Linked DNA regions of Xenopus tropicalis. The main gene of each other region encodes a partner of the protein of the gene in region 2 in a complex. Links are inferred from orthologs where the notes say so. Each region holds a gene or a part of one and is shown on either strand. Other genes may lie near its edges.

The links.
Region 1: sarnp (region 2) and thoc7 share a complex: the UniProt entries of both Homo sapiens proteins name them as parts of the transcription/export (TREX) complex. The link is inferred for Xenopus tropicalis from reciprocal best matches to the Homo sapiens genes SARNP and THOC7.

What each region holds. Positions count from the first base shown.
Region 1 is NC_030680.2:145,033,249-145,037,686, reverse strand, and holds the start of thoc7 (THO complex subunit 7 homolog), read right to left. Parts: upstream 2,983-4,438; 5' UTR 2,944-2,982; coding exon 2,925-2,943; exon of another isoform or gene 2,766-2,924; intron 1,106-2,765; coding exon 988-1,105; intron 1-987. Other genes in the region: atxn7 (ataxin-7), read left to right, coding at 2,983-3,142. UniProt on the Homo sapiens protein: Component of the THO subcomplex of the TREX complex which is thought to couple mRNA transcription, processing and nuclear export, and which specifically associates with spliced mRNA and not with unspliced pre-mRNA.
Region 2 is NC_030678.2:138,209,682-138,214,031, forward strand, and holds the start of sarnp (SAP domain-containing ribonucleoprotein), read right to left. Parts: upstream 3,004-4,350; 5' UTR 2,719-3,003; coding exon 2,686-2,718; intron 688-2,685; coding exon 588-687; coding exon of another isoform or gene 564-587; intron 1-563. UniProt on the Homo sapiens protein: Binds both single-stranded and double-stranded DNA with higher affinity for the single-stranded form. Specifically binds to scaffold/matrix attachment region DNA. Also binds single-stranded RNA. Enhances RNA unwinding activity of DDX39A.

The DNA.
Region 1 (4,438 bases), on a different chromosome or scaffold from region 2:
CCCATTAAGGTTTCCCTGTACATGCAAATTATTTGAACAGTATATCTAATTGCTATTGGAAGTAATTTCTGTCCTTTTCCCAACTACAAATATTATTAAAACAGTGTAGCAGTATTCAGCTGTCCTCTCCAATTCCCACAATCCCTTGTATGTTACGTGATTAACAGACCTGTCACTTGCATGCTGTTAACTGGCCCATAGCATACAATCTCATTTCACAATGATGCCATCAGATGTGGCCTATGGAGCTCTTGACCATGTAGCAGGTCATATTTAACCCACGGGCTTTCAGTTGAATAGTCCAGACCTTTATGTTTACCTGAAGCAAAAAAAGACAAATACAACCCTACCCTTTTCTGGCTGCCCAGCAAGACTCACTTTAGTGCTTTCCTAGGGGACATTAGAACTGTTTTCGTCCTTCCTTGTCACCAAGAGATGTAATTAGTTAAACTTGGCAACCCATCTGCAATCCACTGAGCTACCTCATTGCGCTGGGAAGTGGCAAAGTGACAGCAGCCTTTCCACTTATCATACCTTTCAGTAGAGTTTTAGTATGGCTTTAGTGGTCCCATAAACATTCAGTTTCATATATACATCTGGTTTCCAACTTAGCAGTTATCTTATAAACACATTTGCAACCCAGTTGACACTGAAGTAAAATTAAAAAAAACCAATAGCAATCTTTGGTAAGCATGGGGTTCAAAATCTCCTTTCAGAGTAACCTGGATTCTGCCCTTCCTGTTGGACTGTTTCAGCACAGATTACTCAGCAATGATGGCCTTACATTTATACATATTTTCTGCTGCTTTCTCTTCCAGAGGGAAAATGAATTTTCCATAATTATGAAATCTCCACAAAGAATTTTACCAAGCAATAATTTTGGAATCATACTTTTCCCAGACATGATTAGAAACTGGTTGAAGCTTCAGTTCTGCTAATAAAAATAACATTGTGGAACTACTGCCACAGTCACTTGGTGCCTCTTACCCTTCTTCTTGGGAACCCGAGTTGCACCATTTCAGAAAACTCTTTACCAATAAGTTAATTCTTCGGTCGTCTCCGGCACCATCTCCATCAATCAAAAGTCTTTTGCGGATAACTTCATCTGGAAAAGAACAGAAGGAAATGGAAATAGTGGATTTTATTGCTGCTGCACAAAGACAGGTCACTGTGTAAGAGAAGGTTACCATCAAGCAGTTATACAGTAACAGAACAGGATAGATTTGGATACCCTGCCTAGCATCTCCAAGAATTCTAGATCCACAGAGAGAGACATCCCAGGTGGCAGTATATGTGCGCCATACTGGTGCCAAGTACCAAGTTACCTGGACTTAATTCAAAGGAATTGTCAAAGTAATTTTGCTTAGAAACATTGCATCTGCAAAAATCAAACATATCTAAATTTCATGAATAAGTGTGGATATGTGGTTTGGCCAGCCTGTGAAATCTAATGGAGGACTCTTGCAGATGGAAAGCTGATCACCATTTAGTTAAGGAGGCAAAGGTAAACCTAACAACAGAGATAGCAGACCAAGAGGGTGCAGGGTACCCAACAGGTATATTTAATAGACTTAACCCCATACTATCAGGGAGATAATGATATTTCCCATGAGTGGCCTGGAAAAACAATATTCCATATTACCATTTCTTGTAAAGTGGAACGTGGTCTTAAAAATGCCTGACAGTATCACTGATCTCCCTTATAAGACTGACATCTTATAAAAAGAACTGTGTGGTGTTCAGTCTGACATAAAATTTCAGAATCTTGAGGGCTATAAACCATGGCTGAAAGGCTGACTAAACTGATCATAACATGAGCTCTAAATGAAATTAAAAAGACTTGTGAGGGTGCTGATCATTATATAGAAATACACAGATTCACATATTATTATGATTATCTGGCCAAACAAACTACCTTGGGCAATGGTCACTGGTTTTTGATACAAAATGATACATGGTCATATCATATATCCTGTGCCAATATATAGCAGTCTATCTGCAATTTATGCAAGGCAACAATAGAAAATAATCCCACCTGAGTGCCCTGTGTGTAGCTGCCAGCAAATGAGACCCCCATTTTAAGTCACCAGTAACAGTGAAAAGTGAGTAGGTGAAATCTCTGTATACATACATTAAAGTATCCATAGGATTTATTGACAGCAGCACATGTATATTATATTGTGATATAGACAGCTTATCTGATTAGATTACTACATTTATCATATTTATAAGATAGAGACAGAGTAAAGGTACATAAATATAATTCATACAAAATAATAGTGGCTGTAAATTGTCCCTAGCACCTTGGGCAATGGTGACTGGTTTATTGATACAAAATAATATAAAATATATAGCAGTCTGTCTACAATTTATGCCAGGCAACTTTATAAAAACCCTACTTGAGTGCCCTGTGTGTGTAGCTAACAGTCAATGAGACCCATTAAGTCACCAGTAACAGTGAAAAAGTGAGTAGGTGAAATCTCTGTATACATAAAAGTATCCATAGGATATATACACAGCGGTACATGTACATTAGGATATAGACAGATTATCTGATTAGATTACTATATATATATATCATACCCATAAGATAGAGACAGAGTACATCCATTCATACAGAATAACAGTGGCGGTATAAATATATATTGTCCCTAGGATAGATACAGCAGCGATATATATACTATCCATATGAGACTAAGTAGCACTACATAAATATATATATAATATTATCCATATAAGATACGCTGAGCGGGGAGTAGGGCCGGAAGTCCGTACCGCTCTCCTTCCCCCAGAGCCCTAACTCGAGCCCGGGGCTTTGCGGCCTAGCCGGCCGGTGTGGGTTTCCCGCGGTCGGTACCCGGGCAGGCAGAGCTGAGGCCGAGCCGGAGGGTGTAGGCGGTGGGGTAGGAGGGCGCTGTACTTACCGTCGGTGACGGCTCCCATGGCGGTGGCGGCGAGTAGCAGTGAGGTCAGACTCCCAGAATGCAGCAGCGGCGGCAGCAGCCGGAGAGACAGGCAGGAGCATGGAGGCCTCGGTCACCGCCTCGCCTTCCCTATAAGCTCCCCCCAGTGTCGGGCGGCCCAGCGCCTCCTGCCCACAGCCGGACACACAGCCCCAGGCAGGCCTCCCCGGGCCCCGCAGGTAAGTGCCACTCAGCTGGGAGTCACAGCCCCATTCCCTTTCCTCATTCCTGACATGATTATTGCCCCGAGTATTTATATTTCTACATAACTGCACTGCAATCCGTGCTGCCCTGGGACCTGCTGCCATTATACCAGTACTGGCACTCCATTACTAGCTCTAGTACTCCCCATTACTTACACTAGCACTAGTACTCCCCATTACTTACACTAGCACTAGTACTCCCCATTACTTACACTAGCACTAGTACTCCCCATTACTTACACTAGCACTAGTACTCCCCATTACTTACACTAGCACTAGTACTCCCCATTACTTACACTAGCACTAGTACTCCCCATTACTTACACTAGCACTAGTACTCCCCATTACTTACACTAGCACTAGTACTCCCCATTACTTAGACTAGCACTAGTACTCCCCATTACTTACACTAGCACTAGTACTCCCCATTACTTACACTAGCACTAGTACTCCCCATTACTTAGACTAGCACTAGTACTCCCCATTACTTACACTAGCACTAGTACTCCCCATTACTTACACTAGCACTAGTACTCCCCATTACTTACACTAGCACTAGTACTCCCCATTACTTAGACTAGCACTAGTACTCCCCATTACTTACACTAGCACTAGTACTCCCCATTACTTAGACTAGCACTAGTACTCCCCATTACTTACACTAGCACTAGTACTCCCCATTACTTACACTAGCACTAGTACTCCCCATTACTTACACTAGCACTAGTACTCCCCATTACTTAGACTAGCACTAGTACTCCCCATTACTTACACTAGCACTAGTACTCCCCATTACTTACACTAGCACTAGTACTCCCCATTACTTAGACTAGCACTAGTACTCCCCATTACTTACACTAGCACTAGTACTCCCCATTACTTACACTAGCACTAGTACTCCCCATTACTTACACTAGCACTAGTACTCCCCATTACTTACACTAGCACTAGTACTCCCCATTACTTACACTAGCACTAGTACTCCCCATTACTTACACTAGCACTAGTACTCCCCATTACTTACACTAGCACTAGTACTCCCCATTACTTACACTAGCACTAGTACTCCCCATTACTTACACTAGCACTAGTACTCCCCAATACTTACACTAGCACTAGTACTCCCCATTACTTAGACTAGCACTAGTACTCCCCATTACTTACACTAGCACTAGTACTCCCCATTACTTAGACTAGCACTAGTACTCCCCATTACTTACACAAGCACTAGTACTCCCCATTACTTACACTAGCACTAGTACTCCCCATTAC
Region 2 (4,350 bases):
TTGCTTTTGGACATTTTTCATCATTTCTAGATTGCATGATTGCAATCTAGAAAAAAAATCCACAATCCAAAATCACAAGAAAACATAAATGATATGTCCTTCTATGTGAATTATGGTTACTGTTTTTAGCCTCTTACAAAAAAAGTCATTTTAAAAATATAGTTTGTGACACTATTGAAGCAATCTATGTAAATAAATATGATAATTATGGTTCACTTATACTTTCTTAGCTTCAATTTTTAATTGCATATATATATCTGGATATTCCTGTTGGAAGCCAGTCCCTGGCTTCTGCAAAAGGTGTAAACTATATGTGTAGACTTCACATTTCTCTGCAGAGGTATTGCATAATACTCCTGAACTACAAACAAAGCATTCCGTCTAATTTAAATCATGAATAACAGTTTAGTTTAGAGACATAATCTTATGTCCCTGAAGCATGGTTAGATGAAAATTACAGAGGAGGAAAAAGATAGGCCCCACAGAGTTTGTTAGTGTGCTTATGCCATATAAATGCCATTAAAAACAAACATATTTAAAAAAAAACAAAAAAAAAAACAAACAATTTAACAGAAGTTCTTCCGAACCATGTTCCTCTATATAGGCTTGCAGACGGCTGATAAGATCGCTCTTGTTCCCCTTCACCTCTAAGCCACGAGCAAGGCACTCCTGCTTTAGTTCAGCCAACTAAAAAAAAAAAAAAAAAAAAAAAAAAAAAAAAAAAGGGAAAGAAATTATTGCATAAACTAACTTTCCAGGAACAATTATACTTGTGCCAAGAATTCAATATGTTGTTGCAAGAAATAAAATTGGTGAAATTCTCATTAGTAGAGAGAACGACTCCAGAGTGCTTCTGGATTACAGTATGTACAATCTAAGAAAGGGTTGTAATACATTTTTCCCTAATATTCTGAGAATACATTCTGAAAGTACTTTAAAGTGTGAGTAAAACAAAACTAGGGCTCACTAACATAAGTGCTAAATTTTACAAGCAACCAATCAACATTAGTTTTGACCAGTCTACTACTACTAGTGAAATAATGAAAGCAAAACCCTGATTGGTTGCTATGGGCAACTGTTCTGTAGCAATTTAGTGCCTCTCTTAGTGAAGTACATAGGAGGCATGTATGAGGGCGATAGGTCCTCTGTTACCTCACCATAACTGCAAATAAAGCTGGCCTTGTTTCGAATACAACCATGCAAAATACAATATTATAGTCATATGAAGTTACAAGCATAAGCGCAAGTAATTTCTTGCGCACTCTGTCTTAGCTATTTTTGTAAATTCAGATACAATAATCTGTAAAGTGTTAGTAGGTATTTATGCCGTTTAATTTATAATAACTGTACCCCTGTTTAGGTTTCCCCCTTAAAAAGCACTGTATATTTGTGGTGCTACTTAAATAAATCCCAGATAAATCTTGCATCACCACTAAAAAGCTGGATTTATAGGCATGATTCCAGAACTGTTGACAGTGTTTGCCCGTAATCCTATGGTAGATAATCATTTCAGTCATTTCTTGGGCCACTTTAGCAGTTTTAAAGTTAGTTGTTTTAGCCTTAACAAGATTAGTTTAGTTTAAAGGGTTCTTCCACTTAAACACTTTCTGCGCAATAAAGCAACTTTCCAATATACATGAACTTAAATTATTTTAATAATGTCAGGAATCCAAGCCAGGATTGCAGAAAATGTAATCAGATTTGTATTGTTAGTGCTGCTCAATCAGCATTTTTTCTTTAGGTTGAGAAAAGTGGATCTGCTCTCTTATGCAACTCCTTGTATCTGCACCGAAAAGTACAAATTTCTGCCTGCTTTCCCATTTTTCAGGTCAACCTCCACTCCGCTCCATATACCTGCACTTATTCCTATGGTGTGAACTCTTCATCTACTTCGGCTTCCTCTGTCTTCTCTTGGTTCTGGTCCAGGCAGGTGCATGTGCAGAACTTATACACAAAAAGACTGTTTTCCCACTCAACTGCACATGTACCTGCCTAGGCCCGAGAAAAGAAGACAGAAGATTATTGTGGCAAATATGATCCTACCCTGGGCTGGCGCAGTTTCTAGTTAACAGGAACAACGGGCCGGGGTGCCTAACAGTTTTGCACCCCCAGCAATTATAAATTAAGTTCTCCTCTAATGATAAAGAAACTCAATAACACTTGACACATGTAGAGAATCGGTGAATATCCTGAGGGAAAAAAGTTCTGTTGAAACACACAGATGTACCCATTGGTTTGAATTGATCTCACAAAGTTACAATTATTTCTGTAATTCACAAAATACAATTATTTTTGTTTTAAAATTCCAGAAAACAAACTAGAATGGGCACATTTCCTAAAAAAACCCAAAGAATCTAGCTGGGTGAGCTGGGTGGGCTGGGTTACAAACGAGAAATAAATCAGAGCAATTAGCAGCATCTAGCACTGCCATGGAATCACTAGGCCACAAATAAGTTGACAGGATTCTATTACAGGGATTTTATATCAATAGATTCATTTAACCCAATGCTGAAGTCCAACTACCAGCACTGCCTGCGGAAAGCCATTACAAACACTGGATGTAGACAGAACCTATACGGATAGAAGAACCCTGCGCTATTCATATAAAAGGTGCAGTGCCACAAAACGATTTCCAGTTATAACACGAGGCCCCGATAGAAAGAACCCACTCCCTGCGTGGAATACCTTCAGCTTGTGAAGCTCCACAGTTTCCGCCATCTTTCAATCGCCAACTTGCCTTGCGCAGCACAACTCAGGTGCGACACGCGGATTGGTTCGTCGCCCAGTTGACGTCAGTGGAAAAATACGCGCGGCAATTTGGATCGACAGAGGTGGAAGTAACCAACAAATTTCTATTTATCAACTTCCTGTGAGCTCTCTGCCGCCTTCCAGAAAGCAGAACCTCGTCCTTCCAAAAGAAATTAAACAATACAGCCCTATAAGTGAGAGGAGAGACCTTTGGCCTTTACGGGGTCAAGCCGCCACTGCAGAGGTTGGGTCAGTTTGGACCAATCCGCTTTAGAGCTGTGAACAATCTTTCAGCCAATCACCGGGTCTATTTATGCAGCAGACTGAGTGACGCTTTGGGTAACTACTGCCATGTTATTGGAGGTCGGAAGTCAGGAGAAAGCTCACTTCCGTATATCTGCCATCTTAGTTGGGGATAGGAGATAGAAACGCAACTTGAGCACCACCCTCTTACAGCTTCCTCCCGGAAGTGCTTTGTGTTTCCTGGCTACCGGTGACAGGCGGTGGTCTAACTACAGGTGAGAGGGTTAAGCATTATTTATTATTATGCAGGGTGGTTATACTGTGTTGTGTAAAGGCGGTGCTTGACCGGTGGCAGTTCAGAAGCTAGAGGGGTGTATGCTGAACGTGCCTGTCTGTGCGTGACGGCGATCATGGATTTTTGACACCTTATTTTACGTTGCCATTGAGATAAAAGAGGAATTAGGTTTTTTTTTTTAAAAAATAAATCCTTAATTGGGTTATTATCTCTCTCATGACATGGGGTTACTTGCCATCTATGGCACCTGATGGGTAATAAAATACTGCGTTCAAAACATGTTTGGTTGTACCATCACATGCCTTTGTGCGGCTTCTCACAGACTCTTCTGCTTCTTTAAACAAACTATATTGTATGCATAGAAACTGCATGCATCAAGCCCATTCCCCAGCACCACATACACTCAAGAATTCCCGGTGGCGTCCCATAATAAGGGTCTGTAGTTCTTATTGAGCGTCTCATCCAGCCTTGCACTATTAGCTCCACTGAATTATGTAAACATCTGAGAGATTCATTAGCAGTAATTGTTTCCCTGCTTTCATTTCAATGGACAACAATAATGTATGGTTATAGACAAGGACATTTAAGAGTGTATTTGATACCTTTTTATTAACACACTGTCATTAGATCACAAAAAAGTTCATGGAATAACTTTAACAGTTTACTATGGGTAAAAATATTTTTTTAGTTCCAGTGTTGCTCTGTGTGCTGCTTGGTTCGTGGGTTAAATAATTAATACTAATTCAAAAAGAAGGATCCTCAACAGCCAGTCAAAAAGAGCCAAAGTAGATAGGACACAGCCCCCAGATTTAAAGAACAAGCCAAACAGCAGAATCCATACGGATCCCAAACTTCACACAAAAATTAAAAGAAAAAAATTTGCATTTTTATTTAAACATCCATATTAAAAACATAAGATACCCTGGCTTTTTAAAGGGTTGGTATGATAATCCAGCCTGCTCCCATCTGAATTTTATTAAACAATAGGGTTTATTTTAGATTGCATGGCACAGTGCTGTGTGCAAAAAAAAACTTGTGTCAAGTGCTCATTTGGCAGTTGAGTC